Alligator mississippiensis: one gene and its partner. The protein of the gene in region 2 purifies or fractionates together with the protein of the main gene of each other region. This does not show direct contact. Links are inferred from orthologs where the notes say so. Each region holds a gene or a part of one and is shown on either strand. Other genes may lie near its edges. The genes, in order: MLST8 and RPTOR.

Region 1 (15,853 bases), on a different chromosome or scaffold from region 2:
CTACCATGGGATGCTCCCCGCGGTGGCTCTGGAAACGTGACACACACTGTGGGGCCCAGAAAGAGACAGCAAAGTTGGCCAGGAGCCGCAGACCCCCCAGGCTAGCCCCCATGCTGGAGGAGAAGGGCTACTATTTGCCCCACCTCTTGTGAAGCACAGGGCTGAGAAAAGGACAGGCCAGGTTTATGGGCTCAGAGCAGTCAATGCATTGCTCCTCAGCCTACGTGCTACCCATGCCGAACTCGCGAAGCAACAACCGGGCACTAGGCGAGAGGCCAGACTGATCGCTCAGCTGCTGCCTTCTCCGCTTCCTGCTGCTGGGAGGAGGAAACGAAGCCAGAGCTGCATCAGCAGCTGGGGGCCCCGTCGGTCTCCTGAGACCCGGTCTGAAAGGCCGGCTTTGTTCAAGGCTGGGGCAGAGCAGCGAGCTGGCAGCACTCACGTGGAGTCGGGGCTGAACTTGCACTGGAGAGCGTAGCGGTTGTGTGCCGGGATCTTGGTCTTAGGGATGAGCTGAGTCACCTCCTCCCCAATGCCACCGGTTAAATTCCAGACGTAGCAGTTCCCCTGCAGACAGAGAGGAGCTGGCTGCTAGGCTGGACCGCAAGGGGCACGAGGGACGCAGGCACCAGCCACAAGCACCCCCTCCCGCCCCAGCGTGCAGCAAGCTCTGTGCAACGGCCGTGCCGAGAAGCCTGCGACAGGATGAACGGCAGAACTGCTGCAGCCCTGGCTACTCCTCTCCTAGGGCTCCAGTCGGACTCACTGAACTGTTGACAGCCGCCATGTAACTGGCGTCAGGGTCGATGTGAACCGAATTGACAGAAACTTCTGGCTCAGGAATCAGCTGCTCGTTGTGGTCTGTTTTCAGGTCCCAGATGTGAATAGCACCGCTCTGATCCCCGACGATTAGCTCAGCCTGCAAAGCACCAAGTCACAATTTGCAATTAGGAAACAGAAAAGGCGGTGCAGAGAGTGCCTGCACCTAAGTGCATCCAGTGCAGCCATCGGTCTGGCCCAGATGTGCCTGTTCTGCCCAGACAGTCGTCAGGACGACGGCACTTTGCAGCGTGGTAAGAATGTGCAAGCAGCTGCAGATCCAATCTAAATAAGCCTTATCCCCATTTTACAGACAGGGAAACTGAACCAGGGAGGCATTTTCAGAAGTGTACACTAAGTTTCTGGGCCCAGCTCCAGAACGCTTGAGCCCAATTTCCAGAGTTGTCCAGCAGCTGTGACTACAGCTGAGACCCACCAAAGCCAGCCACGCTTGGCACCCCTGAAAACCCAGCAATGGAAGCTTTCTAACTCAATGGATCCTTCTGGCATTTATGGCCTACGTGACTTTCTCAGTCAGGGCGCAGATCCAACCAAGAGCCGCAGCTGGAATTTAGGAGCCTGGGCTCCCAGTCATGTGCTCAGACCACTACACAACACTGTCTCTCTTCATTAAGACTGTGGCTGTTATCAGTGGTGTGCACCAGCAATATTGCTGTTAATGTGATGTGCTGCACTGCACTGGACCATGGATCAGTCTTGTCCTGTGCCCACCAGTGAGTAACAGCCTGCCTTGGAGAAAGAGGACCACTGCCCAAAACATACCCAAGTCCAGTGTGTAGGGCAGAGGTCCCTCCCTGGCCACCTGCAATGCTGATTGCACCCTGAATCCTGAGAGGGGGCTGCCCCCTCCTAGTACATGTAGACACAGCTGCAGAAGAGGTCACTGCACTTATAACGACCCCTGGCAGTACTTGACAGCAGCTGTGAGCTGCTCAGGCTGACGACACCCCGCACAGGTATCCCCAACTCAGTCCGATTCACTCCAGAATAAAGGCCGTAACACGGCAGTGTCTGCTTGGCCACGTTCTCAAATGCAAAACTCCTGCACGTAGCTGACACCGATACATGCAGCCTTCCTGATGTGCCGACACCGCACAACTGTTAGCGCTAATGAGGCAAAGGTCATGTCTGATCTAAAGTAAAACATGGGTCTTCCAAAATTAAAGCGCTCATGAGGCCTAAAGCCAAAGGAGCATTTCCACAGCTTGTCCTCTTAAAAGAGGAACAGCTTGTTTTGCAAGACGCATCAATCCTTCGCTGCACTGTTTGCAGCCCAGATGCTGCAGCGCTGGGCTGGCACGTAAGGATGTGAAAGCAACAAGTGAGCTGTGCGACAGAAGGGAAGCCGAAGGGACGATTTTCACTGAGCTGAGCAAAAGACAACACCAATTCCGTTTTCCCTTATTATAGGAATTAGGGGCACTTAGTCCAATAGTAACAGGAATTAAAGCACACTGCAGCATGTGCAACTTAAACATTTCTGCTACAAGAAACAGGGACTGATCTGTAGATCTGTTTATGCCGCTCTGTCCTCGAAAGAATCCAGGGGCAATCCTGTTTTAAGACTGAAAAGGGAAACTATATTCTCAGTTCCTTTTTCTTCTATCCTCCCGCCCAAGGGAGGTTTTGCATTCGCAAGCAGAGTGGGAGGGAACGCACTTCCACGGAGCAGGTCCCAAGGTCTCAGTTCAACCTAAGTCAACAGGCAGATACTCTCACGGGACCCAGAGGCAAGGCGCTCAGGTAATAAATGACAGAATCACACACAGTGATACCATCTAGTGCTTGGAGCAGCACCGAGCAATCACGAGTTTCCATCACCCGCCCGTACTCAAGGGTACCCTTCTCTGCACGGATTCAGGGGGTTTTCTCAGCTGCCGGATATAGGAAACTCTTTCAATTTTGACCAACTTCCGTGTCTGGTACTTAATGCCGAGACAGGAGCTCAAGCCTAGCAAGTTCAAGTCTTGTCAGAGTGGAAAACAAGTCCATTTAGAAAAAACAATGTTCTGCAATGACTGCCAGTCATGTAGCCCGTCAGGTTTCTAGTCGGGAGACGCAGAACATCTGTAGCAGCCTCCCCGAGCCTAGCAAGCGCAGAACAGTGTGCGTTTACCTGGTTAGGGTGCAAGCAGACACAATTAATAGGAGCATTCACTTGGAAAATACGTTGGCACTGAAGGTTACGTGACCTGCAACAGAATGAACACAAACGAGAAGAGTCAGAGAAGCGGCTGCAATGAGATCTCCTGCTTCCCTCGGGCCTGTACCAGCTCCCTGCCGCCCCTGCAGGTGCTGAAGAGGGCTTGCTCACTGCATGCAAGGGCGCTGGGCTGGAGGTGAAGCCTGCCCGCCCCACCTGCAACTTCCAAAGGGGTTGGAGGGAGGCAGAAGGCCATCACCCAAACCAGCCAGGACCCCTGGGCTACACCAGAAGTGCCAGGGAATAGTTTAACATCACAAATGGACAGGACCTGGCTTTTCCTGCTTATCCACATGACACCGGCCAGCAGCCTCTGAGCACCAGAAGCGGTGCAATACTGATTCAGAGGAAAGACACTGAACCCCTCGTTCTGAGTGGCCCCCCTGGAGGTCTCCCAGCTGGGTACTGCCCCGTGGCTGCCGGCTACGGTCACGGCTCAGAGGGCTTACGGAGACAGGAGATGCGTCCCAGGAGGGAACCCCCATGGAGCAGTGCCGGCCCCAGCGGGTACCTCAGGTCCCATATCCTGGCCATGCAGTCCTCGCCTCCCGTGTACATCCAGCGGCCATCTTCGTGAAACCCAACGGAGGTGATGTTCTTGCTTACGCCATCGTAATTAATGACTGGGTTGGGGTTGTTCGAGTTCAGGTCGTACATCCGAATGTGCTGGTAACCTGGAAGCCAGAATGACAATGAGCGAGCACCCAGATGCACGTGGCAGGTGTCAGACACTCCGGCCAAAGCCCCCTCTGCGAAGGGCCACCCGACCTCGGTAGAAGGCAGGCTGTCCCCACATCACCCTGCCCAGCAGGGTCTGTGGGTCCCAGAGCAGACGCACGCCTCGTAGGGGCTCCAGGGAGGTGAGTCCCGGAGAGCCACACATGAGCAGTAACTGCACGTCCGAGCATGTAGCCGGGGGCACCACAGCTGGATCGCATGCACGAGGGCGAAGTCACCACACACCAGTTGGAAACCAATGCCAGAAACCACCAAACACTCCTCTCCTCCCCGCGTGCCCCCGACTAGGGTATGGGAATGTGGGCAGGGCTCACCTGCAGCAGCAATCATGCTGCGGTCCGGGGTGATCTCCAGAGCATTCACTTGCTAGAGGTGCTGGTTAAGGTTGACAGAGCAAGCAAGTACCTCTGCAGCAGGAGAAAGCATTCCCTTGAATTCACCCTGCCTGGAGAAAACTCAGCCTAGCGGGGGCTTCTCACTGGGCATCCTTTCTTTGGGAACAATCTCGACTGGAAAGGGAAGCTCGGCGCACCACCACATGCCCGACGTTTCACGCCAAAGAGCACATCTGATGACTCCAACACGGCAAGACACGTCGGCCTGCTCTGTCCGCCCCACAGAGGCCTGGCCCGATTCCAGCTCTACGCACTTTCCCCTCCAACACCATCCGCTGACGGCTCCTCTCTACCTTTGCCACCCGCGTCTCCTCAAACTCTGAAGTTTAGCTAAGCCGTGATGGCGCTGTTGCAAGGAAAATGTCTAACCACGGAGAGATCTTTGCTTTGCCCCACGCCCCGGTCAGAGGGCCTGAAGGTACGAGGCTCTAGAAGGACCCTCAGAAGAGACGACAGATGCAGGGCATTGCTGGGCCTGCTTCCCGATGCAGGAAGAGCAGCTCTGGCTCACTGACCGTGTGTGCACGCGGCGGGGGCAACGAATCTGCACTCTCTCACCCACTCCTTTCCCAGACACTGTTCACTCCAGCTTTTCTTTCCTCACTCTTGTCCTCTGACTCCTGCCCCTATTTATTTTCCCTTCTCTTGGGCTTTTATTGGAGCAGAAAACCAGTCTGTGTGGTGTCTGCTCATTCCCTGCCCAGCCACCAACTTAACCCATGACCGAACCAAAAGGCTCTACTCTAACCGGTGACATGGGCCGAGGGACCGCCCCGAAGTCATTCTTGTCTCACCTGCAGAATATCACTGAGGAAGACCATCCCTCCGGGAGCTGAGTGATGCTCGGGGTGGAGGATCCACCAGTAAGCTGTTCCACCGGTGAGTCCTTCAAAGACTTCTGCCTCGTTTCTAGCCTTCGTTCCTCTAGCTCCAAATCCAGCCTCCGGATCCTGTTCGACCTTGGTCTGCCCACCCAAGAGGTGCCTCTCAGCGACCCTGTTCCTTCCCTTGAAGCTCAACAGGCAGCAGTTTCTTGCTCACGGGTGTGTCCCCAACCCCTTAGTCACTCTCACAGCCCATCTTTTCACCTTCCCAACCCATTCACAGCCTCCTTGGGCCGCAGACACCAGAACAGGACGCAGGGGCTGCACCCGTGTGTGGTACAGGGGGAAAGGAGCCTCCTCCCCGCCAGCCTGACGTCAAGCTGGCCATGTCGAACAGCGAGCATCCCGTCTGTATCCAGTTCACCAACAATCCTGATCGCCCCGTACCACGGCCTGTCCGCTTTGTTATTCACCATTCCCCTCACTTCGGGGATTATCTTCAAACTACTGCAAGAGGCTGTCAGGATTTTGCACTAATCTAGGAAAACCAGAGTCTGAGGCAATGTCATGGCATGGTCAGGAGAGGGCAAAACACCCCACCTTTGGACAAGTCCTACAAAACCCCTTTTTCCACCCCTCTTTACTGGGCACACGCGCAGAGGTAGGACGGGGTTTTTCCTTTTTATTTGACCCACCAAACTAACTCAGACTCAGTTGTGGTCCATACTTCCGCCGTCTCCTCCAATTTGGCATCATCAGGCCCGTTTCCTGACATGCTACAAATGTCACACACACAATATAAAGACACGACTCAATCGCTGCTACCGTCGCAGCTTTTGGGAGGTTTCAGCTGCTGACGAGAGCCCGGATCGAAGCTCAGACCAAGAGTCTGATCTGTGCGTTACAGCTGAGCCAAGCTAGGGGGTCTCGCCCCTCCGCTCGGAGTCAGACCGGCGCCGCATTGGGGTCAGGGAGGAACTCTGCCCCCCGGTCAGATTGCTACGGATGGGAGAGGGGGGCTTTCTTCCCCTGTAGCAGGGGCTGTGGCCTCTATTTGGGATTTCTGGAGCAGCTATTAAAACCTTGCGCAGAAGCAGGACGTTGGCTGCAGCGGTCCCCCTGCTATATGGATGGCATGTTAGGGTGCGATATGTTGTGTTGGGGTGGGGGTGTGTAGCTTTGCCAGGAGGCTGGACGATGGATCGGTCTGGGATGGTTTGCACAGGGCTGATCCTGCCTCAGGCAGCAGGTTGGACTAGAGGTGACCTCTGCAGGTCCCTGCCAGCCCCACCGGACTTTGGGTCCTGGCAATCCCTTCTATGCTCTCAGGACAGGCTACGCGGGAAGCGAAACCAACGCCAGGGCTCTCCGGCCCTACCAGAGCCCATGACCCGTCGGAGGCGCCAGGGCTGGAGGCCCCGTGCCGTGCAGGCGCGAGAAGGATACAGAGTCCTGGTGCTGGACGGTGCGGGTGCAGATCCCGCTGTGCGCCTGCCAGAACCGCACCGTGTGGTCATAGCCGGCGGTCGCCAGGATCACGGGGTCGCTGCCCACGGTGCCCTGCGCGGTGTTCATGGCGGAGGCCTGAGGGGGGGTTGGAAAGAAGGTCACTGGTGCGGATCCCAGCAGTGCCCCAGCTCAACAGAGGTGGACACCACAGCCCCCACCCAGGGCACACGCGGTGAGCATCTCCCCCCGCCCCCATCACTCCTGCACAGGGGTGCCAGGCACACCTGCGCACGAGCCCTGGCCTACCCCAGGCAGCAGGTCACCCAGGTAGACCTCAGTGCTCCGGACCCCCCTATTGCAACTGCCCCACCCTTCTACTGCAACCCCCCATTGCAACAGCCCCAGCCCCTATTGCAACCCCCATATTGCAACAGCCCCCCATTGCAACCCCTCACTGCCACTGCAACAGCCCCTGCCCCCTATTGCAACCGCCCCATTGCAACCCCGCCATTGCAACAGCCCCCCATTGCAACCCCTCACTGCCACTGCAACAGCCCCTGCCCCCTATTGCAACCGCCCCATTGCAACCCCGCCATTGCAACAGCCCCAGCCCCTATTGCAACCCCCATATTGCAACAGCCCCCCATTGCAACCCCTCACTGCCACTGCAACAGCCCCTGCCCCCTATTGCAACCGCCCCATTGCAACCCCGCCATTGCAACAGCCCCCCATTGCAACCCCTCACTGCCACTGCAACAGCCCCTGCCCCCTATTGCAACCGCCCCATTGCAACCCCGCCATTGCAACAGCCCCAGCCCCTATTGCAACCCCCATATTGCAACAGCCCCCCATTGCAACCCCTCACTGCCACTGCAACAGCCCCTGCCCCCTATTGCAACCCCGCCATTGCAACAGCCCCAGCCCCCTATTGCACCCCCTATATTGCAACAACCCCCCCACTGCAACAACCCCACCCCCTATTGCAACAGCCCCCTTATTGCACCGCCCCGCCCCCACACTGCACGAGTCTCGGGGCCACAGGCCGCGCGGGGTGGGGGGGAGGGGCACCCCCCTTTACCTGCGGACACACGAGGGCGGAGATGGAGCACCGTCGCGCATGCGCAGAGCACGCCCCAGGGCCATCCAGCGACGAGGCGCATGCGCAGAAACAGGGTGCCTGTCTGGGGCGGGACACGAGCGCGTCCAGCAAGCGCGTGCGTATGTGCAAGGTGCCCGGCCCTGTCCCCGGCGCGGGAGGGAGCGCGCATGCGCGGAGTCTCGGGCGCGACCAAGCGGTGCCGAAGCGCGGGGGGGAGGAGTGGGTGCCGCGTTGCAGCCCCGAGCATCCCCAGGAAGGGGCGCTGCTGCTCGCGGGGTGTGCAGCGCCGTGCACCGCGCCCGGGGCAGCAGCTGGCAGGGGTGGCCCAGGCCTGGGTGCTGGGGCCCTGGGCACCCTCTGGGGCTGGGATCCAGGCAAGCATGGGGGCTGCTGCCCAGGGCAGCCATGCCCAGCCTGGGGGCACAGCCCATACCTGGCCCCATCTGCACCAGCTGGGGGCGCTGCCTGGGGGTCGCCCATGACCTTTGCCCCCTGCTGGAAGCCCCTGGGCAGGGTGCTGCATGCATGCTGCAGCCCTGGCGCGCCGGGCGCGTGCACCGCTGTTGCTGGCAGCCCCGACGTGGGCCGCGGAGAGCTCGCCGGGCACCGGCTCCAAGCCCCGCAGAGCAAAGCCCAGGCGTCCTAAACGCCAGGTTGAGCCGCGAGTCGAGAAGATGCCGCACGGCGGATGCCGGGACACGGGCGTCGTTTGTCGCAGGACATTTTCCCCTCCATCTCTGCTAACAGCATCCCCCCGCAGAGCCGGCCGGCCGTTTACACCGGTTTTGATCCAAGGCCGCAATTAGGAGCTTGCAGCCTTTCGGTCCGAGCCGCGGGTGCACCCAGGATATGCGGTTTGATGCCCTCCAAATGGGCGCCGGTAAAGGGATGCGTGTGGTCCGGTTGCTGCACGGTGCTGGACCGTCAGGGCTGGCTCGGGTCCCCCTCCTTCCCTCCCTCGCGCGTCTCCGGCCTCGTCTCCGCGTTTTCCTTCGCGCACAGGTATCGCTGTTGAGATTCAGAGCACGCTTCCCGAAGGGAACAACCGCCCGGTGGTGCAGACAGTGTTATGATGAACGGCTTTCCCCTGGAATCGGAGAGGCTTTATTGCGAGTTGGGCCAAGTCCCCATGGGAAGCGTTCATTTCTCTCCAGGAAAATATCGTTCTGTCGAGAGTTTGGTGGCGCCAGCGGCGCTCGGAGCATCTCCGCCGAGCCCCGGCGAGGCAGGGAGTGCGGCACGGATGCAAAATTAAAGCGATCTGTCACTAAACTCGCACCTCTTTGATAACAGGCTGCTGCACTAGGCCTAGGAGGGTTTGCTGGAGGCGGTGGCGCGCTGCAGGCATGTTTCCACACGTGTGTTTCCCCGCTTCTGCTTCGCCTTGGCCCATGCTCCGTTTGGGGCTGGCTCCACGGGGCTGGGCTGGGCTGGGTTGGGTGGGAAGCACCTCTCCACTTCGAACGTGTGCGGGTTCAAGCATGGTGGCGGTTTGCAAGCAGGCATAGGACGGCTGGTCCGCGGATTCGGGACGCCCCTCTCCAGTTCCCGGCGGCACCCCCAAACTCTGGTGGGACCATGAGCAGCCGCCGCGCCCTTCTGCGATGCCACCGCCAGAGCAGGGGGGCTGCAAAGATCAGTGCACCCGGGGTGCAAGGTGCTGCAGCCCTGGAGGGACCGGGCAGGGCTTTGCTAGAGCAGGCATCCCTGCCCAAAGCTGTGCGTGCAGAAGAGATGGGCACTGCAGCCCCCTGCCCAGGTGTGAGTGATGCCCGGGGCAGCCCTGCAGGGAGCTGTCGCCGGCCCCTCCTGCGCTGCAGCCCGGCCCTGATCCCGATCCGGGTCCCTTTAAGAGTGGGGCTGGGCGGCTCCGTGCGCCCGGCTGCGGGGCGATGCCACCGGCTCCGGCTGCTCCGCGCGTGCTCCCTGCCGCCAGCCCGGCCCGGCTGCACCTGCCAGGTAGGGGCAGGCGGAGCCCCCCGGGGCCGGGGGCGCTGCTGCCCCGGCTAGTCCTGGTGCCAGCCCTGCCACGGGGCTGGGGCCAGGCTGCCCGGCGCTGCAGGAGGCTCTGGGGGTGCAGGGGCTGGGGAGGAGGAGGAGAAGGAAGAGGGAGGGGAGGAAGGTCTCCCCCCAGAGCAGTGGGAGGCAGCTGGGCTGAGCTGCCCCTTGTGCCAGGGAGCCCTTCCCTTGCTGCTCTCTCCATCCGCGCGGGTCCCCGCGCCCTTGCCCGCGCTGGCGGACGGTGTCCGGTGCGTCCTCAGCCCTTCCAGGGGCGCACGTGCCTCCCCTTGCCTTGGAGCAAGGTTGCGGGCTAGATAGAGCCCCTGTGCCAGTGCTTCGTACCCCAGGCTGCACTTCTCTTGGGGAGGGGGATGCGTGGCAAAGCCGTGGATCTGCATGAGCACCAATGCCCAAGCTCCCTGGCAAAGCCCTGCACCTGTGTGAGCATCAGCCCCCAAGCTCCCCGGCAGCGTGAGCCGCTCTCTGGGCAGCCCTGGGAGAAGTCCAGCCTACCGCTGTCCTGGCCGGGGGGAAGTGGCTGCGCCCGGGGCTGCCGTCTGCAGCAGGCTGTCCGTGTCCGGACAGCGCAGGGCTGCCTGCGAAGGGAGGAGCTGGGAGCAATGCTGTGTCCTCTGACTGCTGATCCAGATCCAGCTCTGGCGTGCAAGGATGGGCAGCTCTGGTGCAGCCTGAGCCACAGCAAGGAGGCTCTGAGCCCGGCCTCCCTGCTCCTGAGCATCCTGGCCGCAGGGCCTGCCCAGTTCATAAAGACCCCCGTCCTCCGCACGCTCCCATCCAGCAAGGGCATCGGCGAGGTCTCGCCTCGCGAGTCACCCCTGATACCCCGGCGTCTCCATCGGTGAGCACGTTCCCTGGGCCGAGCTCGGGCGGGAGGGCTGGTGCTGACCTGCTCGAGGCTTGTTTTTAAATGTGGCTGAGCTTTGCTCCCCTCCTGCCCCGAAGGGAGACCCCTTGTCCTGCTTTCCAGCTGGAGCCTGTTCACGGCCAGAGCCCCACGTGTCCTGGTGCCGGCAGCATCCCTGGGCTGCCCCAGCTCCTCACCTCCTCTCTGCCCTCCACCATCCCCTTTTCCCTGAGCTGAGCGCGCCTTTCCTGGGCACGGTTGGAGTGAATGGTCCGCAGCGTCCAGGCAGGGTCTCGCCAGGGCCTCGTGCGATGGCACCGCCACTGCCCTGGCTGTCGAGGAGATGCGCTGCCGTGCAGCGTGGCTCTCCCACCCCGGCACACCCAGACCCTCCTCCTCCTCGGTGGTTTCCAGCTGGCGAGCTCCCAGCCCGTTGCACTTATTGCTGCTGGGTTGCTCCTGTTTCTGCGGCCGCGGCCCTCAAGGTCGCCCAGGTCTGGGCTGCTGTCCCGCCACGTGGGGTCACAGATTTCGGCAGCGCCTCGTGCCCAGGTCCTGAATGCAAATGTTGAATCAGACGGAGCTGGGAGGAACTCCCCTGCTCTTGGCTTCCCTTTTGGTGCCCTGCTTGCCCTCCCAGCTCTTGATTAATCATTTCCCCAGTGGCGCCCCATCACATGCTTTGCCCAAGCCCGGATAAACGAGATCACCTTTCCTCTGCCCGGAGCGCCGGCTCTCGGGGGACGTATCGGGTTCGTCTGGCTCCGTCTGCCCCCGTGACGCTCCTTGCCCTGTCTCTCACCATCCTTCCCTGGATGGTTAGTTGGAAGGCGCTGTGCCCTGCTCGCCCTTGGTCTTGTCTGTCCTGCAGCCTGTGGAGAAGGGAGCCGGGGGGAGGTGTGTACGTGCACAATACCAAGCGTCACGGGGCCCCAGGCTCAGCTGGCAGCCCTCGGTGCTACTGTGCGACACCTGGTTAATGGGCGCAGCGGATCCGTGTGCCAGGAGTGGTGTCGAGGCCACTAGGCTTAATTAAAGCTGCCTGGAGGACATCCCTCTTGACGACGACGCTTGGCGACGGCGAAACACGGAGAGAGGCCTGTGAACGGGCGCAGAGCGAACGTCTGGTATTGGCATCCCTGAACCTGGCAGCTTCCCCCGGCTTCTCGCGACGCGCAGGGGTCCGGGGTCGTGCAGGTGGCTGCATCCGGCTTGGCGCTCCAGGGTGGCCCGGCTCCAAGGAGCGCCCTGACGGCAGCTCCCGGGGTAAATCCACCCTCGCTGCACAACAAGGACTTGTGCAAAGGAGGAGACTCGATGACGGCCACGTGCACCCAGGGCCCCTGACTTCCTCCTGGGTGTGTAGCTGTGCGGGGGCCCTGGGGGGTGCAGGGCCAAAGGACGGTGGGTTTTCCTGCAAGCTTCTGCTTTGGGTCTGGCACAAATCCAGGATGCTTCTAGGTCGTGCCACCGCCGTTCTGCCACAGCTCGGGGGCCGCTGTGCGGACGTTGCCCTGATGGGCAGCCTGCGAATGCTGCTGTGCCCTGACGGGACTTCCCTGCAGGGCTGTGTCCGCGGCTTCCCGAAGCCAAGAACAAAGGGCTCTTCTGCTTCAGCATCCTCTGGAGGATGCACGGCTGCGTGCGGCACAGCTCAGGCTCTTCCCCGCCTCTCTGTGCGCGCAGCAGTTTTCCGGATGCTTTCTTGCTTTCGGTTTCGAGGTTGCCTACATGCTGATGAGGGCCCCGTCCCTCCCAGGCATGCCGCAGACCTGGCCTGATGACAGGGACGGGGGGAGCTGTGCTTGTGCACGTGTGTGTGTGCAGTGTAGTGCGTGCAGGAGTGTAAGCGCTTTCTCCCTTCCTCCCCTGCTGAAGTCGCTTCGATCTATTTAAGAGAGCGAGCGCCGCTGGTCAGGTGCGGCCGGGCCGGTGGCTCGCTCTGCGGGCAGCAGGGACAAGCCGAGTGGGTTTGCTTGCCCACTGGCCCGGGCGACCGTCTGGTGCATGTCGTGATCCCCTGGACGCGGCGACGCAGTGAGTGCCGGGGGGTGTTTCTGTCCCCGGGGGCAAGGGGGTTGGGTTGGCCCTGGGTGCTGGACCTAGTGGAGACAGGATTTCTGCAGCAACCGCTGTAGCCCTGCCATGACCAAGTGCTGTGACTCAGCGAGGCTTGCCGTGTCCCCAGAGGCACCTTCTGCAGGGCCGGATCCTGCTGGGACTGCCCGCAGAGCAGGTCCGAGACTTCCGGAGCTGGGGAGGGTTCAATTCCCTCTGCCACAGATTTGGGCTGAGCCTCTCCTCCCTCCTCCCAGCTGGCCCTCTCTGCTAGAGCCAGTTGCCAGGGGTGCGGCCTCGCTGGGCACACACGCTCACACCCAAATTGTCAATTAATGCTGCAACACTTCAGTGCTATGGGGCATAGTCGTGCTCCCAGCCTGCAGGAAGTTTTATCCGCCTTGTCCCCCTTGGCATTGTTTGTCTTGTTGCAAATGCGGCAAGGAGGCAGCGGGCCCGCAAGGTTGCAGGAAGAAAGAACCGGGCAGCCAGCAGTGCCAGGTGCTACCAGGGCGAGCTGTGCTGGTGCCTCCAGGGTGAACGAGGGCCGGGGATTCTTCCAGCGCGGCCCACGGGGACTCGGACACCTGGGTCCTTATTCCTGCCTCTGCCCCTGTCCTCATGACTTGGAACGAGGCCTGATTATGTGTGTGTGTGCATGCACAGAGGCTTGTGTGTGTGCATGCATGCACAGAGGTGCACATGTACAGAGGCATGCATGTGTGTGCATGCACAGAGGTGCGTGCACATGTATGGGTGCATGCATGCATGCACAGAGGCGTGCGTGCATGCACAGTGGTACACGCGTGTGTGCATGCACAGAGGCATGCGTGCATGCACGGTGGTACACGCGTGTGTGCATGCACAGAGGTGTGCGTGCATGCATGGTACACACGTGCGTGCATGCACAGAGGCATGCGTGCATGCACGGTGGTACACGCGTGTGTGCGTGCATGCATGCACACAGCCCTGATTTCAGCTGGGGGCTCCGGGCACAACTTCAAGAGTCCAGTAAAGCGGTGTGTGTCCCACCCATGCTGCAGCCGCCCCTCCCGGGGTACTGCACGCCCTTGCTGTGTGAACAAGGCAGCGTTGTACAAATACCTGAGCTGCGCCCATTCTCCCCGCTCCCTCTCCAGTCAGCGCCGTGGGTATCTCCAGGGCGCACCTGACCCAGCGTGGGCAGGAAGTCGCACAGCTCAGGTGCTTGGTTGGTGATAAGGCAGTTGCTGGATCCCTGGCTGCAAAGGCTGTTGCTGCCACGGGGGTTGGTGGTGGGAGGCCGGCAGACAGCCCCGCACGGCTCTTGCTACCCAGGTGCTTCGTGAGCCCCAGGTGGGTGCTCGGGCTCTGCAAATCGGGGGCATTTCATGAAGGCCGAGGGCTCAGGAGAAGCAGCAAAGAGGGGAGCCTTGAGGGGGTGGGGAGGGGGTTTGCTTTTGCACACTCACGCTCCGGGGATCTGGTGCACGGTCTGGAGGCCCGACCCGTCCCCGTGGCACACAGAGCTGGACGGCTTGAGGGCATCCTGCTCTGGAAGCCACTCCTGCGGGGTAGGGAAAGAGCAGACGTGGGGGCAGGTCCAGAGCTGCGGCCCCCAGCACCCGGCGGTGTCCGTTGTCCTCGGTCCGGGCCCGCAGCCGGAGTGGGTGCAGCATGGCCGAGCCCTCTCACTGTCCCCCTTCCTGTCTTCCAGGGGCTCCCTCCCGTGCCAGCCCAGCTGTTCCCTCCATGGGGAGTGCTGGTCCAAAGGTCTCCGTGCCAGGCATCTGCTCTGTAAACCTGCCCTGACATTGCCAGCGCCAGACCAGGTAGGAGCTGCCCAGGTGAGGCTGGGGCAGTGCATTAGCACACAGCCCAGTTGTGGGGTGGAGGGCAAGTCCCTGCACTGCCCAGACTGGGGGGGACCCAGGTCAGGCATCCTCCCACGGATGCAGGGGGAGAGGGGAGGTGCTGGCCCAGGTGCCTGAAGGGGAAGGGTCCGAGCCTGGGTCTGCTGTGTGGAAGTGGGGGCTGTGGGCTTGCAGGGGTGCTGCCTTGCTCCCCTGGGGTGGGAGAAGCCACCCCCTGGCCTAGCCGTGCCCCCGGCTCAGCCCTTCCCTGCCCGCTCGCCCGCAGCGATGTCCTTCAAGCGCAGCCAGAAGCTGCACCTGCTGCGCCTCACCGTGCTGCTCGTGGTGGTCCTGGCCGGCATCAAGTTCCTCTTCCGAGACAGGTGAGGTGGGGCTGGCGTGGCGCGGATGCTCGGTCCGGGGTCCCAGGCAGCTCCTGATCTGCAGGTGGAAGCTGCCCCCATCCCCATCTCCAGCGGTGCCCACCCCTGGAGCCTCAGCTACTGCCGGGGGTGGGAGCAGGGTGCACTGCCCCGACGAGGAGGGAGCAGCAAGGTGGACTTTACCTCCAGCCGAGGGCTCTGAGCTGGAGGTAGTCTCCTGCCCCCCTGGTTTCCGCTCGAGCGCATGGTTTCCCGGGCCGGCTACACGGAGACGGGCCCCTGCCTTGCTCTGGACTAGCCAGAAGCAGCAGCAGCCGTTTCGGGGGAGAGGGTCCCCGGTTTCATGGGTGTCAGTGACTGCAGGAGCTAGGAACATGGTTGAGCCTACGGTCCCGTCTGTCCCAGAGCTGACCCAGGTAGATTTCCCTCGTTAGCCCCTCTCTTCTGGCCTGGGAGAGCTCACGAGGGAGGCTGGCGTGGGGCTCGTAAAGGGGCCGGTGCCCCCAAGAGCAGGCCCTGACGGGCGTGGGCATCTCTTGTGCGTGTGCAGTTTCACCCTGGAGCTGCACAAGCACATCAGCAAAGACAGCGACTTCTGGGGCAAGGGCGGGGATGTCCTCCCGGAGCCCGACCCCCGCAGCCAGCCCCTGGACCCGGAGGCCGACCAGATCGCGGGGCCCAAGCAAGATGCCAGGAAGCAGCTCTCCAAGGACTTCAGCGCCACCGAGATGAGGCTGGTGCACCTGGACCTGAAGGGCGCTGCCCCCAAGGTGTCCTACCTGGAGCAGGTGAGCGGGCTCTGAACTGCATGGAGCCGAGGCGGTCTTGGGAAGTGCCAGGCGGGCTCTGGTCCTGAGCTGCTAGGTGGAGGGCACCCTTGGGCACCCCGCTCCATCCATCCGCTGCAGCTCTGGCCATGGCTGTCCCCATAGTTGTTCCCGCTGCTGTCCAGGCTGGGTGCCAATGGGGTCCTGATCGAGTACGAGGACATGTTCCCCTTCAAGGGCGAGCTCGGGGTGCTGCGGGCTCCCTACTCCTACAGGTGAGGCCGGTGGGAGGGGTGGCATGAGCCCCGCGATGCAGGGCAGCCGGAGCCCTCTGACATGCCCTTCCTCTGCTCCCCCAGCGAGGACGACCTGGAGCGGATCCAGCATCTGGCACAGCTC
Region 2 (15,674 bases):
TATTGCTGTTTGCAGTTTTCACCTAATTTAAAATGTTATCCCATAATGTTATTTCACATAAGAAACATTATGTGGCTTTGAAGTCAACGTTTAACCTAGAACTATAAGATTGGGGGAAAGATGAATATCTCTAACCTGTGTACTTGGTATGCTTATTAGCACAGTTAGAATCTTGGTAAAATAAAGTAAAGACTTGGCATGGGATTTTCATTTGCACTTAAAAGACTGCATGTCATAGCACATGTGAATAGGACCTGTGCTCCTAATGCACTTAGGCATTTTTGGAAATCCCAACCTGTAATTCCAGTGATTCTTTCCAAATAAAGCTGAAGGTTCAATGTGCACTACCTACACATAACTGAATTCAAAACCCAGAACTCTTTTGCATTTGGCCTCACAATGCTCTGAAAATGTTAAGAGATAATTTCCTTTTTGCTTTGCTGGAACCTAAAGATTCCCTAGGGTTCTTAAAAAGGAAAGTACTAGAGCCTGGGGAACCAGAGCCTCCCAACCATCATTCCCCCTCTCATTAAAGTAGATTCCAAAGCCTGTTTACTCATGTGAGTTATTACTAAGCATTAATGGTTAAACCCATCTGTACATTAACTACCCCACGACATTTCACATAAGAAAGGTGCTATATAGAAAACATAAAGATCAGTGTTCTGCATCATATAAAAGGCACTTGCTTTTCTGGATACACTAGTAGCATATCTGAAAATAAGCCTTGACTGTTATGCGGTTTCCTGGCGATATGAACTGGTCTGATTTTTTGGTTTTTTTCCCCACTGCTGTTCACCCACTGCAAGGTCAAAATAGATTATATGATGTTATAACTTACCAGGACGTATCTGACTTCAGTCAGCTAGATGGAAAGGGATGAGTGAATGTTTAATAAATGTCAATTCCTTTAATGAATCGTAAAGTACTTGGCAGGTTAAGATCCATTCCTGGTTCTTATTCACTACTCAAAGTCCTAATTAGCATCTGAAATATCACAATTGGTTGCTGAGGGACAACTAATGCCATGGAAAAAAAAAAAGAGTCTAAAACATATCTGAAATCCTGATACCTTCTCTTAATAATGGAGGGAGAAGAGAGAAATAGAGAAGATAAACAGTTCCTAAATCATCATGTATTTTAACTGCTCACTTATATCCATATACCCCCATCCTCAAGCCAGGAAAGCAGCTCACACAAGAATGCCAGATATGTCCAAGATAAAGTTAACAAGACACACAGGGACACCATCAACACGCAAACCATCCCATAGGTAAGGAAAAAGTGGCAAAGTTCACTGTAGCTGCACCAACAACACACACAGTTCAGAAAACCAGCTACTTAAACTGAGAATTCAAAATCTGCTCCTCTCTTCCACAGAAACACAGAGACATAGAGATCGATTAATGTTCTGGAGGTAAGTTTACCCAGGCTTGGTTATTGCCATGCTGGTGCATGAGTTACAACCTTCCCCATGAAAAGCTCTATCTATATCACTGAGGATCATTAGGGAAGAAGACAGGGCCATTCCAGGAGAGGAAGGATGATGGAATCTGACCCTTAAAGATTAATCAACTATTTTTCGATAGTTATTAAAACCACGCCTTCCATTTTGATAAGAGGTGGTCCTATTTATAAGGTAGAAAGACCTGTATTTGCAGCCACTCTCATTTGTGCACAACCTGTAAGTTGAAGAGAATGGGTTTTGGATGACTCAATCGGACTGGTTTCACCCCTAGGTCAAGGCAATCCAGCCCTGTAGACCAAGAAAGAAGGTCAGCTCAAAGCTCCAAAGAACCCCAGCCAACGTGAATTTAACAAGAGAGAGGTGTAGGATCCTCATGCCCTTAGTTCAGTACAAAAGGGACTGTCTCCTCTGTCAAGATACACAAGACTGCATTCTCTGCCAGATTTAACAATGGTTCTGATCTTGAAGCCTCAATGTCTATTTCATTATTAGGTGAAAACTTGGTCTGGCAGAACAATGAGACTTCTGGCTTTGAGAACAGTAACTTGTTATCCATCAATCTGAAAATCAAATACTGAGTGTTCCTTCAACAATTAATTGACATATTCCACTTCCAGCATTACATTGTTCTCAGAGAGGATACTTGTGCACAAATGTTTTGGTAAGACAAAATGTTCACATAGTTGTTGCTGCTAAACACAGAAGTAGATGTGTTAAACAGTTTGAATTAACCAAGGAGAAAAAACTCAAATAAAAAATATTTCCAAAGCTTCTTGAAAGGTTTGGCAGGTGGTGATGAACCGTTAACTAATGCACTTGACTTTTCAGAGGCTCTTTGCACAAACATCACTTTGTAAATGCTCACATTTCAATGATCTTTTCACTCTTAATTACATAAGAACTACAGACTTCTGCCTTCATCAGGAAGTCAATAACCTTTTCCAAATGGACATGTGCATGCAGTAATTTCCTGTAGTCTTTTTTGGTCCATTTTTACAGATTCTTCATTTTAAGGCTCATGGGAGGTACTCAGTTGACAGCATCAGAACCCAAAGTCTTTTCGTTCAACCACAGGCCTGGAATAGCACAGACAGAGGTAGTATGAGCTTCTTACAAAATGCGCTGCTGAAACGCAAGAACTGGTATTTGGAAAGAGCTTCTACTGCAAAACCGATCAGTTCCCACTGCCGTTCAGTCTCTTGTTTATGTGCTACCTTACCACCAAGAAGGTGAAATGGAGCAGAAACTGTCACTCCTAAGCCATCAAACCTTAAACTAAAAATATCTCCATCACTTTATTTTACAAACTGCTTGTACAAATATGAAATGTCACAAAATAAAAAATATGTTCTACACTGAATAATATCTTTAGTCTCCTTTCCCCCTTCTAGATTAGCAATTACTTTAATTTCATAACTTGGAACTGCCCCACTAGACTTCTGCTGTTAAATGTTACAGAGTGTCTTTCATTAGAGAGCACATGACAATATTGGTAGACACAGATTTAGACATACTAGCTGCGTGTTCTGGTTTACAGGGGCAGGCAAGCCATTATGCCCCACTTTTCCCAGTTTTCTCAGGAGTCTTGCCTGCAGGGGTTGCAGGAGGTCAGGATTCATGGCGTTTTCTTAACTTGCCTGCACACAGGAATCAAGGAGACAGGCACAGCTGACTGACAAGAACAACCTACACATTCAGGAATTCAGTTAATGACAAACCAGCGGTGACAAGCCCTGCTCCCGCCACACATGTGAAATTTGCCTAAGATGCACCCTCTGTGGAGAACTGATAAGATTGTTTGGAATTGGGGGGCTTTCAATAGTTTTGTTTTGCTAAAACAAATTTAAGATTCAGGCCTTATAACAGTAATCACATCCCCCTAATGAACACAGCTTACTTTCATACTTGCTATGTATACCTTTTGTCTTGTATTTATGCCTTTGAACAATTTCAGCTCCCAGCACCTGGCAGGAACTTGCATGATAGTGCTTATCATTTGGATGGACTTGGTAGCCGTGTTGGTCTGAGACAAAAAGACATACAAAAAAGTAGAACTCTTGGTTCCAAAATGATACCTTTTATTAGACCAAGTAGAAAATGGCAAGAAAATTGTCCTTTTCTGCAAGCTTTCAGGATCAAAGTCCCTTTGTCAGAGCCTGATGAAGGGACTTTGATCCCGAAAGCTTGCAGAAAAAGACAGTTTTCTTGGCATTTTCCAGTTGGTCTAATAAAAGGTATCATTTTGGAACCAAGAGTTCTACTTTTTTGTATGTCTATCATCTGGATTTGCACTTTGGAATGCAAAAAAGGCTTACGTCATTCATACCTGGCATACTGAGAACGCCTCTCCATAAAGATGCACTGGTAAGTTTGGCAAAGGACACAATTATTGAGCACACGTATGAACACTGTGCAAGGACAGCACTGTTTAAAGGAGGGAAAAAGGCTAAGAAGGTAAAGGATTGCTCTAGATAAATATATTTAGGGGGTCAAAATCTGAGAGGAAAATGAAACGTTTAAGCTAAAGGATGTTAACAACAAAAAATAAGTCAGGGTAACGTGGCCACAAATAAACTTAGACTGGAAATGAAAAAGTCACTAAACTGGTCTTTCTTCCCAAAATACTCCTACTGGAAGGCTGCTCCAGAACCTAACCACTTATAAGATGGAACCTGGTTAATTTATACACAGGATTATGTGATGTGGTTGCCTGCCAAGGCAGGGAACTAGACTCAGTGTCACAAGAGGCTCCTATGTCTGATATTCCAACTATCCAACACCTGTGTAAGAAGCATTCCACCATGAAAATATCCAAGCAGCTTTTAAAAGAAAGGGATGAAAGGAAGGGTTTTCTAAGAATCAGCCCTGCATGCAAGTAAATGTCCTGTTTTGGCTGCTTCATCTCAGGAAGTGGAAACAAGTACCATGCTGGGCATCAAGGCCAGAAAGGCAGAAGCCACAAAAAAGTTGTCTGCCTTTCTCAGAGCCATATAAAAATGTGAATTCCAGACTATCTGGTTTGGAAAATGAGGGAAATCCATTTTCCTTTGATTGAAAAATCTTTTTTGCATAAAGACTTTAAAGATAAGTGGGAATAAGAGGAGAGATCAGAAAAAAAAATAGCAGTAACCCTGCTCTCCCACGAGAAGCCCAAATAAGTAGACCATTTAGTTAGCATCTGAGAGCTCACGCTCATTCTGTAAAATTTAGCAGCATTAATCCTTGACTGTAAAAGTTTTTAATCTTCTTTATTTAGATAGCTAACTTGGGACAATTAGACTCCTTATTTAAAAATGAATGTTAGAAAGAGAGGCAGCAGGTAGAGTAGATTTGCACCTTTACAGACTAACTGAAATGAGACATATAGCATAAGCTTTCATAAGCAGAGAGCTTCCTTCATCAGATACTGTGAAGGGACAAAAAGAGAAACGTAGAAGCACTGCTGAATGACATGCATTACAACCCTGCATTCAGACAGTGTCTTCCATCCCAAAGTGCTTCACGTCTTTTATTAATCTGTATATAAATGTTTATCTACTGCTGAAGAAGTCAATTCCACGATGAAACATTACAAATATTCAACAGTGTACAACAACAGAAAGCAACAATTTAAGGCAAGGAATAAATAATTGTATATGTAGTTAAAACTAGAAAGATCTTCTTATTCTTGATTTGAATACACAATACAGTATAAATCAAAGTTGAAGCAGGACATGATGTTAACACCCACATACTTAAAAGTATAATGCAGTGTTTAACAAGCACAAAAGGGCAGCTGCAAGTCCAGCTTAAGGACTGTTGCACCTGGAATTGTCAACCGTTGTGGGGAGCAAGAGATGGGAAAGGGAGGGGATGAGACCAGCTTCAGCTGGGACCATCCCTTCTCCAAGTCTGCATTTGAACTTTATATAGAGCTGCTTCATCCCCAACTATTTGGCCTCTGGGAAAGAACCTGCAGCAAAGAGCCAAACACAGAGAGACAGAGCTGCTGCAGAAGCATGTTCAACGGAGACCCAGGATAACCTATTCCTCTTCTCTCTCACTTATGCTACTACTTAGGACCCTCCCTTAGCCTCACTTGACATCTACCTCTTACGTCCTTCTCTTTCTCTCTCTCTACTTCTCTCCCTTCCAGCTACTACTCACCCCATCCAAAAATATTATCACACTAATGTGATGTTTGCCACCATTTTAGCATCTATTCTATTTGAACATTATCTCCATTTTTGCTACCCACTGTCCACCTTGTCCATTGTAATCTCTAAGGCAGAGGCAATAAGACCCCAATCTCCATCAGACCCCAGACATTCACATGACGCACAGGAGTAAAAAATAAGTCAGCTAAACACCACAAAGAAATCAGTGTATGAGAAAGGACATTTGGAGAAGATTATTACGAAGAAGGACACCACAAATGGATTATCTGAGCACCAAAGAAATTAGGAAACAAAAGGTCTTTTTACTTTTATCTACATCAGAATGGCCTACAGTACGTTTTGTAAGATTATAATATTCATTCAGCAATTTTTGCTTTTTTTTTTTTTTTTTAATTCCTCAGATGGTTGTGGATTGGGAGAGACAGCCACTGCTCACCCACAGGAAAGGGCAGCATGCCTACAAGACCTCAGGAAGTCTACAGATCACAGAAGGGGCTATCAGTACATCAGGTTCATATTTTCCCTTCCAAGGCATCCTGACCTTTGATGGCTTAACATTTAACCAGAAAAGTTGAGATACCAGAAATCACATCCCAGAGGTTTCCTGCTAACTGCGATGTTACCCAATACAAGCTAGAGAAACATCAGTGTAATACCTGGTACTATGCTTAGTGGATTCAGCCAAGAGAATATGATCTGCCCCGACAAGTGAAAGTGCTTGAGAATCTAACAGTTCATTTTCCACCTTTTAAACACTCAGCTCGTATTACTCTGGGAAGAATACACTGTCCATATTCCCTGGACCATACTGGAAAGAGAGTAAAGCCTTCCACGCACCTATCAGCCACTGGATAACTTCACAAAACAGAAAGCCTGCGTTTATTGCGCACTCTGCCCACACCAGAAACCCAGGGACCTGGAGAGCTCCATTTCAAGGACCTTACTAATTTAGGACCTTACTAATTTAAATTCCTTCCTAACAAAAGCGCTGCTTTCGTAGGCACTGTTTAAAACCATGGTTCACGACCTTTTTTGTACCAGGACCCATCTGTACACATGGATGGGCAAATAATTAGACGTGCACTGAGACAGACTTACCAGCTGCACGCAGCTCTCCAAGCACATCGGAAAGCGGATCGGTACGAGCCGATACGCCTCCTTAAAAATCAGCTATCGGTATCAGCTCCCAAAATCTCTATCAGTGCACCACTATAAATCATGTAAGTAGAAAGCAGCCCCCTGGCCTTGCACCGCGGTGCCCTCCACCCAGTGTGGGAGGCAGGGGGTGGGTGGGAGACAGGGGTGTGCGTGTGGGGGAAGAGGGTGGGTGTGTGTTGGGGGCAGGAGTGTGCATGTGGGGGGGCAGGGTGTGTGGGGGGCAGGGGCGTGCATGTGGGGGGGCAGGGGGAGGGTGTGTGGGGGGGCAGGGGGAGGGTGTGTGGGAAGCAGGGGTATGGGGGACAGGGGTGTGCATGTGGGGGGGCAGGGGGTGGGTGTGGGTAGGGAGCAGGGGTATGGGGGGCTCAGGGGTGTGCATGTGGGGGGGCAGGGGGTGGGTGTGTGGGGGGGCAGGGGGAGGGTGTGTGGGAAGCAGGGGTATTGGGGGGCAGGGCTGTGCATGTGGGGGGGCAGGAGGTGGGTGTGGGTAGGGAGCAGGGGTATGGGGGGCTCAGGGGTGTGCATGTGGGGGGGCAGGGGGTGGGGGGGCAAGGGTGTGTGTGTGGGGAGCAGGGGTATTGGGGGGCAGGGCTGTGCATGTGGGGGGCAGGGGTGAGTGTGGGGGGGGCAGAAGGTGCCCAGGCAGCCCCTCGCCGGGCTGCGCGGGAACACCCCCGTTTCCCCCGTAAGGAAGAAGCCACGTGCAGCCGTGTGCTCGCACCCCTCTGCTGCGTCGCTGCGGCCCCGGGGGCAGAGGCGCCCGCGCTCAGCGCGCCGGCTGTCAGCACCCGTGTTTCGTGGCTGCGGCGCAGAGACGCTCCCACGGGTGCCGGCACGCGGGCGAGGCGAGGCGAGACGGGCCGAGACACCCCTGCGCCCTCTCCCACCTGCCCCAGCCCCTCATTACCCTGTCCTTCATCCTCCAGCTCTGCGCCAGGGACTTGGAGCCCTCGATCTTCTCGCAGTGCCGCTTCTTCATGAAGGCCAGGGGCAAGTTCCAGTCCGTCAGGTCGGACTCGTCCTCCTCGCCCAGCCCCAGCAGAGGCGACTGCAGCATCTCGGGCTCCATCGGGGGCCACGAGCCGGGCCCTTCCTCCACCGTGGGGCGGGCAGGCCGGGGGGGTGGGGATGCTCCCGGAGGGGCGCTGAGGCCTGGTCGGGCCCCGGCTCCGAGCGGGGCCTCCCGCCGCCGCCTCTAGCCCCGCGGGGCCCGCGCGCTGCCGGCCAGCTGCCGGGCTCGGCCCATGGCGGCCCCAGCCCCCTGCTGCGACGCGACACGCGGGGGGAGTTGTCCTGCGGCGCCGGGCGGCGAAACTCCCCTCAGCAGCACGACACGGGGGCGGCCATCTTGGGAAGGCCCGGCATGCAGCGCGGCTACGGGCCGGCGCGCGGGACACGCCGCGTTCGGGCCAGGCAGGGAGGAGAGGACCGCAGTTGCCATGGCGACCGGAGCATCCTTCCCCTCCACCGCCCTTCTAGCAGCCCAGGGCTCAACAGCACCAGCGGGCTCGGCCGGGCCGGCGGGGACACAAGTTTCGAGATAGACAAACTTTTCTTATATACATAAACTTATCTCTTTTATACATATACACATCTAGATAGATAGATAGATATGTGTGTGTGTGTATATATACTTTCTGGCATGTGTAGATAGATAGATAGATAGATAGATAGATAGATAGATAGATAGATAGATAGATAGATACACACACATATGTATGTGTATATATATATATGAAAGAGCTAAGTTTTTATATATAAAACTTTCTTATATATATAAAAACTTATCTTTCTTTATATATATATATAAAAGAAAGCTAAGTTTTTCACATTCCTGAAGCGTAGACTTTAAGAACAACACCAAAAAGCCTGAGAGTTGGCAACACTGGAGCCATTGCAATAGGCCTTCAAATACAGACTTCCCCCCGCTTGAAGCCCGCTATGCGTCCCCAGCCAGCAGTGCTTCGACACGAGCGCCCCATTTGAGAACCGGGCACAGCGCTGTCTCATGCGGCAGGAAGAGAAGAAAGGTGCTGGGGCTGGTGGCGCAGTCGCTGTTCTGCTTTTTACACAGCCTCAGTTTCCCCAAGTCAGCCTTCCCCACGAGTCAGTGTTTTTATGCCAGCCTCTGAAGGCAGTCGAGAGCGAGCAGCTGTCCCCCCGGGAGGCTACGATGATCTGGTGTAATTTGGAGGGAGTAATAGCCGTGCACATCTCTGGTGCTGCTTGCGTGAAGACAGCTTTCCTGACCCGCCAGCCGTCGAGTCTGTTCATGGACTCCGCACCTCCCACGAAGCTCAAAGGCTGCAGCAGGACTGAGTGGCCTCTGGCAGAGGGGTACATTTTATCCATGTAATAAAGCGAGTACAGTCCTTTATAATGGTGGGTTTAAATGCAAATGTCATGCAGCAGCTACTAGTCTAGCCAACGCTTTAAAGAGGGGACTCTCCCTTGGATGGCTCATTGGCCTGGCTGGCGAGGATAAACTCACAATATTTGTTATCGTCAGTCATCATTTGACTGGCAGGAGCGACCGGCTTGGGAAACCAGTCAGGAACCAGACATCCTCTGTGCCAGGCACTGTACAGATACAGAAGAAAAAGACAGTCCCAGCCCCACTGAAGTTACAGCTCTAGAAACCAGGACCAGTAGATATAGGTGAACAAGAAAAGGTGAACAAGACTCAATAAAACACACACACACACACACACACACACACACACACACAGACTGAAATAATTTTTAAACAGCTTTTAATCAGTATCCATTTGTTATGTTTCTACTCAAACATGTTCACTTTCTTTCTTACCAATGTTGTCCTTTTTTGTTTGAAAACACCGGGGATTTTCCCTTCCTCATTTTGGCTAGACACAAAGCATGTCATGGCTGCTGCATTCATTTTGTTCTAAATTGTTTACTTCTAATGCACAATCCCTCATCTACCAAATCATCTTTGAGCACCAAGGTCTTTGATGTCAGCACAGCTTTGAGAAGAGTATTAGTGTGACCAGCTACGTCTGGCTGAGGAGCTTAATTCCACACTGTTCAGGAAAGAGAAAGCAGCAATACTAGGGATCCTATTGCTATGTGTAAAGGCCCTATCCACCACTCATGTGAATAGGTACAGCTCCTTCCATGGATGTTGCACTGATTTACACTATTTGGGCCCATGTGTCTGAAACACAATGCTAACAGGAATGAATCCTTGTTTTTTGAATTGTGTCAGGAAAACACACGGCACATGCTCGTGGGGTGGGCAGTGGAGCCTGGAGCCAAGGACCAGTAGCACTTCAAGTTCTCTGACACGGAATTTGCTTTATATTTAGTCAAGGGGAAATGATCAGTTTCTCAGATACAAACGGTATTTTGGAGGTGTGTAGCTGGGATTCATCATGGCAATGCTTATTCCCATGGGACAAAGTATTCTCCAAATGCAGAGTCCAGAAGGATTCCCACCACAAGACTGGATTTTTGTGATGAAACCAGAAGGTCCCTGCAATTGTAGAAATGAGGGACTTTTTAAAGCATTGCTTTTTTATAAGCTGTGCATCAAAAAGAGCGGGTTTGCTCCCTAAACGCACTCCTTTGAGCGGGAGCAAGGTGCATTTTGAAGTGTAGTTTAGATTTACAACACTCAGATTTAAGCTCATGCATTAATATTGCTCCTGAGATGGTTGACTGGGTTGGAATACATTCATATGATCCAGGCTTCTGCAATGCACAATGCAAAAAATAACATAATGAAACAGCTGAACGCGCAAAAGAAGGCAAGCCTACGATCGTGTCTTGGGCTGTGGAAGGAAAGAGTAAGACCTTGAGGTCTCCTTTGTTCTCAGGACGGGTGTGAGGGAAAGAAACAGAAACTACAGAAATTCTAATAAATCTGCCAAACTGATAAACCGGCTGTCAGCTCACAGGGCCTTTAAGTCACTCCTGGTCATTGTCCCGCCAAGATGCATTTTCAGTCTGAGCCTCTTTGGCAGCAGCTGTTTGATGCAATGCCCTCCTCATTCCTCCCGTGATATTGCTTCCTTGGAACACAGAGTACACAGGCTCGATGATTGCCATGGGGGCCCTGGGAGCAAACACAAAGGCAGCACATGATTTACTTGAGTCTTGCCTAGGCACTAATCCCACAGCAGACCAAACCTTCCTGACCAGCTGCCCTCCCACCAGATATTCCTGATGATCTTTACCTTAAAGCGAGTTTTAAAAGTTAAACCCATAATTTCAAGTCACTGGCCTTAACTAGTTTCACACCAGCATCCCCCTGTCAGGCCCCATTCTCCTTTGCCCTACACCACTGCAGCAAGAATGCACACGACATGAATCTGATCTGACAGCATTTTGCACCTGTTACGTTCACTTTGCACCAATGCAAATGATTGCACAAAGTGCAGGGGAACGGAGCCAGTGGCCCACTGACTTCAGCAGAGTTCCTCATGATTTACACCAGTAAATATGAGAGGAAAACCAGGTGGAGAGTTTCAAAACTGTTCCTTCATCATCAGCTTGACTATACTCAAAACTCAGAATAAAGAATGGGGCTATTCAGCCCTGATTATCGGAGTGTTTTCCCCGGGTGGCAATTCAATCAAAGCGCACCCAGGTTTACATCTGAGTTGTATCCATCTGCATAATTTGATATATGAAGCCATATGCACTTTGCCTACAATTCCAAGTGCATTTGCAGTCATCAAATACAATTTTTAAAAGATGAAACATCATCTTGCCCTCAACTGGCTGGAACAAAAACATTCCCTAAAAAACCTAGGTCCCTGGGGTATTTAAAGGGGGAGATTTATTGCTTTGATTAATTGGCTTTCTGAGTTCATTCATTTGTTTATGACTATTTAATGCTGGTTTGTGGTCATGATGCAATTGAAAGACTAATTAATTGTCAGGGCACGATGAAACGTTATGTTTGCATTTTTATTGTCATTTAAATCAGAACCCAGTGCGGCCAGATTACCTTCCGTCATAATACAATTGCAGGCAGTAGGGTAACCGTCTCAAGACGGTACCTGAAAAATCACAACTAGAGCACCCAGCACAACTAATCCACCTCAGGCAAAAAGCCTGAATGAACAGATGGGCTGCGCACTGTGCCCTGAAGGTTAATAATCCGAAATCCTGACAGCCTGCTCGGGGAGCATATCCCAAAGTCAATGACTCTGCGGAGAGCTCTTGTCATCTGCTCCCATTCGTGCAGGGAAAGCTGGCCTCCAAAGAGCACAACTGCCAGAGGGGCAGGGAGCGTGCAGGGAGGCCCCTCTGGCACCTCTGCCACACCAGGATCTTAAAAGAAATGATGGTTTACCAGGATCCACATACTTTTCTCTGCAGCCTGAGCAGCTTGTGCATGGCAGGGGCTCCATGGACCCCTCCTTTCTCAAGCCCTCGGTGCGTCACCCTCACAACGCCCTCCTCTTCAGGGACTCACTACAGCCCTCCAACTGTCCCCGCATGCCAGGGACCCTTCCCGTCTCCCGTCCATGCCAGTGTCCCCCTCCTCCCCAACCAGCCAGGGAATGCCTCCCTTCTCCTCCCCATTTCCCCACCATTATTGTTTACCTCTTCTGTTTTTTAGGAGATAAGACACGCAGGTGTTGTCATAGGAGGTGATCAGAGCTAAGCTAGAGGTGTTTTTCTGCTGGAAGGCACTAATTGGTGCCATCAGCCATTTCTTTGATCTATGTACAATTGCAGAGGTGCTTGAAGCGGTGGATGTGCTAAGCAGATGCCAGGATCTCTGTGTCTCCTTTCCCCTCTTTTGGGTTTGCCAGTTTTCCCCAGAACAATTAGCAGGGCTGTTCAATGCTCAGACTATCCCTTGACATTTTGGATGCGATCACTTGCATCACTCCAGACTTGCTGCCTTTTGTACAGAAGACAAATATCCAAACAACAGGGAGGAATGCCATCGAGGCAAGTGTACACATCTCACAGGCTCAGCCAATTATTTGTCAGGTGCTAACAATGTCACTGGTGTTGAAATCAAACCTGTTCATGGCCTGCGGGCTGACTGCCTGTCATACTTCCGTCTGTTCCCTCCACGCAGCATGAAAGCATCCTTTCCTCTGGCTACACTCCACACTGGAGAATATAAATGGATTCACTACAGGGACAGGCCATTTTAAAGGTTCCCCAATAATGGTAATTTTAAAGCACCTCTTCCGTGAGCCTGTGTCTATGACTTTCAAACAATACCTTCAAATTGTCACTGTCAAACAGTAGCACGTCTTTTTCCCCAGTTATAACAGCAACATTCACCTTTTCTACTTCATTCCTCCATGAACGCCCACTCCTGGATAATCATCTGTCCAAGTGGTGTCTGCATACATGCACGGTTCACGTTTCACATGCCTGCTCCTGGTGTCTAAAATGGGGGAGAGTCCCACTTCCCCACTTCACTGTGATGGTAAATGCATTAGTGTTTGTGAGACATGTATGAGGGTGAAGAGGCTAGGAGAATAGCCTATAAATACATACATATGCAAGCAAATGTGGTACACACACCCGTCTCTACAGCTTTTCCTTCAGCCTCCACTTGCTGTCAAATGTGCAACAGGAAAAAGCAGCTCAGATCAGTCCCTGGCAACCTGATGGGTGCTTCTGCCTGTTGGATGCGTCCCCGTTGTTCTCAAATGTTCTCCTGCAGCTTTGCTCTGCAGTGGAACTGGGTCATGTGCTACAGAGCACAATAAGCAGTGCCTGCAGCATGTCAGCATTGCTCCACAACCTGACAGTAGACATTCAAAATATCCCGTTTTAATAAAACTCCGGTCTCTTAAATCCATACTCAGCATATGGTGCAACCATGTGTTAGCAATGCTCTTCCCTGCAAACCTAATGTCTGTCCCCTTGTTTATACACCACATCTGTGGAAACATAAATCCTACTTAGAGTAAATTCTCAGGAGTAATTACCTGTACATATGGGGGATGTGTAAGACTTAGAGATAAATATGCCCATTCTGTCCCCAGGAGTGTGAGAGCTGGATTTCCTTCAGCAAGCCAGGGCATCGCAAGAAAGCCAAGACAAATGAACTGACAAGAAAATACCAGAGATCAGTATGCAACCCCGGGTTGCTGTTCTTTGAAGAAATAACCTCAAAATGCAGCTGAACAAAGGACCTGACTTCCCAGACAAGGGACAGACGCCGTGAAGGCAGGCTGTCAGCAGACACCTTTCACACAGCTCTGCTAGTCATGACCTGCAGTCTCCCTTGGTAGCACTTCTTGGCCAGTGGAGCTCAGTCTTGACCTGAAGCTCTCCACTTGGCAGTCCAAGTCCAGGTCCACACTGCTCTGCCAAAGCATCTTAAGGCTAATTGCATCTTTTCTTGCTATTGTTTGCCTCTCCTGCTATTCCAGGTCTAAGGCAGCATGGAGTCCAGCCAAGGTATTTCATCTCTCTCACTGTGCCAGTCTAACAGCCCCAGGCCATGCGGGGGAAAATACAAGTTAAACCAAAAGGTTGAACACTCTGCTTTAGAGTAACTGGCTGGGAGAAGGCCTTCCCACCTGTGCAATCACTTTCTCCTGTGCCACGCAAGGATCGGTTGTGATTTAGCATTTGCTTTGTGCTGCTGGAAATGAACAATCCCACAGAGAGGCAGGCCTGGTGTGACAACCCCATAGGAGAGTGCAAGCAGCAGGAATCATACGGGCAACCCGGAAACCAGGTGTTGCCGGCAGGTTTACGTGCACTGCAGAGCTAGGTGCTTATGAGGAGAGCGTCGGGTTTCTGCCTGCTACTTCCCTTCCTGTGCTGAGACGTATCTGGATGTAGGTTGACCAGAGGAAGCCTCAGATCCTCTTTCCAGCTTGGGGAGGAAGATTCTTCCCCATCAGTTCCCTCGTAGCTACCCTGTCTAAATCCTCCTAGCTTGGCTTGTTTAGGGTGTCAGGATTAGGCCCTGGGTAGACCTGCTGATTTCTGGTTCGTGGTAGGCACTGAGTGTTGAAGCAGAACCACGTTATGAGTAACTTCAGCTGCTTCTGAGGCCGAGCGAAATCCTTGGTACTGTCAGGCTCTTTGAGGCTCCTCTGACAGCCATAAAGGCCCTAAATCATCCATAATCAACCCCACCACGTAATACCTCCTACAAAGGTAGCCTCTGCTAGGAGTGGGCTGGGGGCAGAGAGGACATAATAAAGATGTGCCTATACCCCAAAGCAAGGCGAGTCACGGACAGTCCAGCTTACAGGAGACATGCTGCCTCCTACATTGGTCTTTGTGCCAGTGCAATTCAGGACGCAGTAGCTAGTTTGAGTGGAGAAATACTCAGGGCACCAATAGCCTCAGTAGCAGGCGTGCCGCCAAGGTTATGATGGTTCCCTAGACCTGGCTGGGATGGCATAATCACAGTGCTGAATACCTGTTATCTTTTATGCCTGATGAAAAGGGCAGAGCATTTACTCGGAGCAAACTGATGACTGGGGATTCGTGAACAGACCAAATCTGGTAAACATCAAAGCTGAAATAATGTGTGTGTGTGTGTGTGTGTGTGCGTCTTTACTCTGCCAGTCCTCCTTGCCGAGGTGGCCAAGTCACCCTTTCTAAGGCACACGTGCTGTAGGCCAGCAGGGCCCTGTCTTCATCTGAATGCCTGATTTCACAGATTGTGGCTGACATGAAAGCAATTTGATTTACTCAAACACAGGATGGTCAAGCACTCGGTCCCCGTAGCCTCGGCTCTCTGATAGTGAAAACCTTCTTCAGGCCAGTGGTTGCGAGCTCTCTGAGCATTTCTAGGTTCAGTCCACATCTGAGATACCACTATTCATTGCCAGGGCAATATTACAAACTCCAGAGTGGGAGTGACGCAGAACAGGGCTGGTTTTATATATACCGATAGATAGATAGATAGATAGATAGATAGATAG

Evidence for each region.
Region 1: the proteins of RPTOR (region 2) and MLST8 purify together in Homo sapiens (affinity purification with western blotting; 15 studies listed by BioGRID and IntAct, with this or other methods). This does not show direct contact. The link is inferred for Alligator mississippiensis from reciprocal best matches to the Homo sapiens genes RPTOR and MLST8.

What each region holds. Positions count from the first base shown.
Region 1 is NC_081836.1:57,907,725-57,923,577, reverse strand, and holds the start of MLST8 (target of rapamycin complex subunit LST8), read right to left. Parts: upstream 6,576-15,853; coding exon 6,447-6,575; intron 6,413-6,446; exon of another isoform or gene 4,971-6,412; intron 4,189-4,970; exon of another isoform or gene 4,148-4,188; coding exon 4,096-4,147; intron 3,718-4,095; coding exon 3,555-3,717; intron 3,033-3,554; coding exon 2,957-3,032; intron 920-2,956; coding exon 767-919; intron 568-766; coding exon 443-567; intron 1-442. Other genes in the region: hexosaminidase D, read left to right, coding at 14,593-14,687, 15,238-15,475, 15,620-15,729, 15,814-15,853.
Region 2 is NC_081831.1:1,244,263-1,259,936, reverse strand, and holds the start of RPTOR (regulatory-associated protein of mTOR), read right to left. Parts: upstream 8,142-15,674; 5' UTR 7,853-8,141; coding exon 7,691-7,852; intron 1-7,690. UniProt on the Homo sapiens protein: Component of the mechanistic target of rapamycin complex 1 (mTORC1), an evolutionarily conserved central nutrient sensor that stimulates anabolic reactions and macromolecule biosynthesis to promote cellular biomass generation and growth.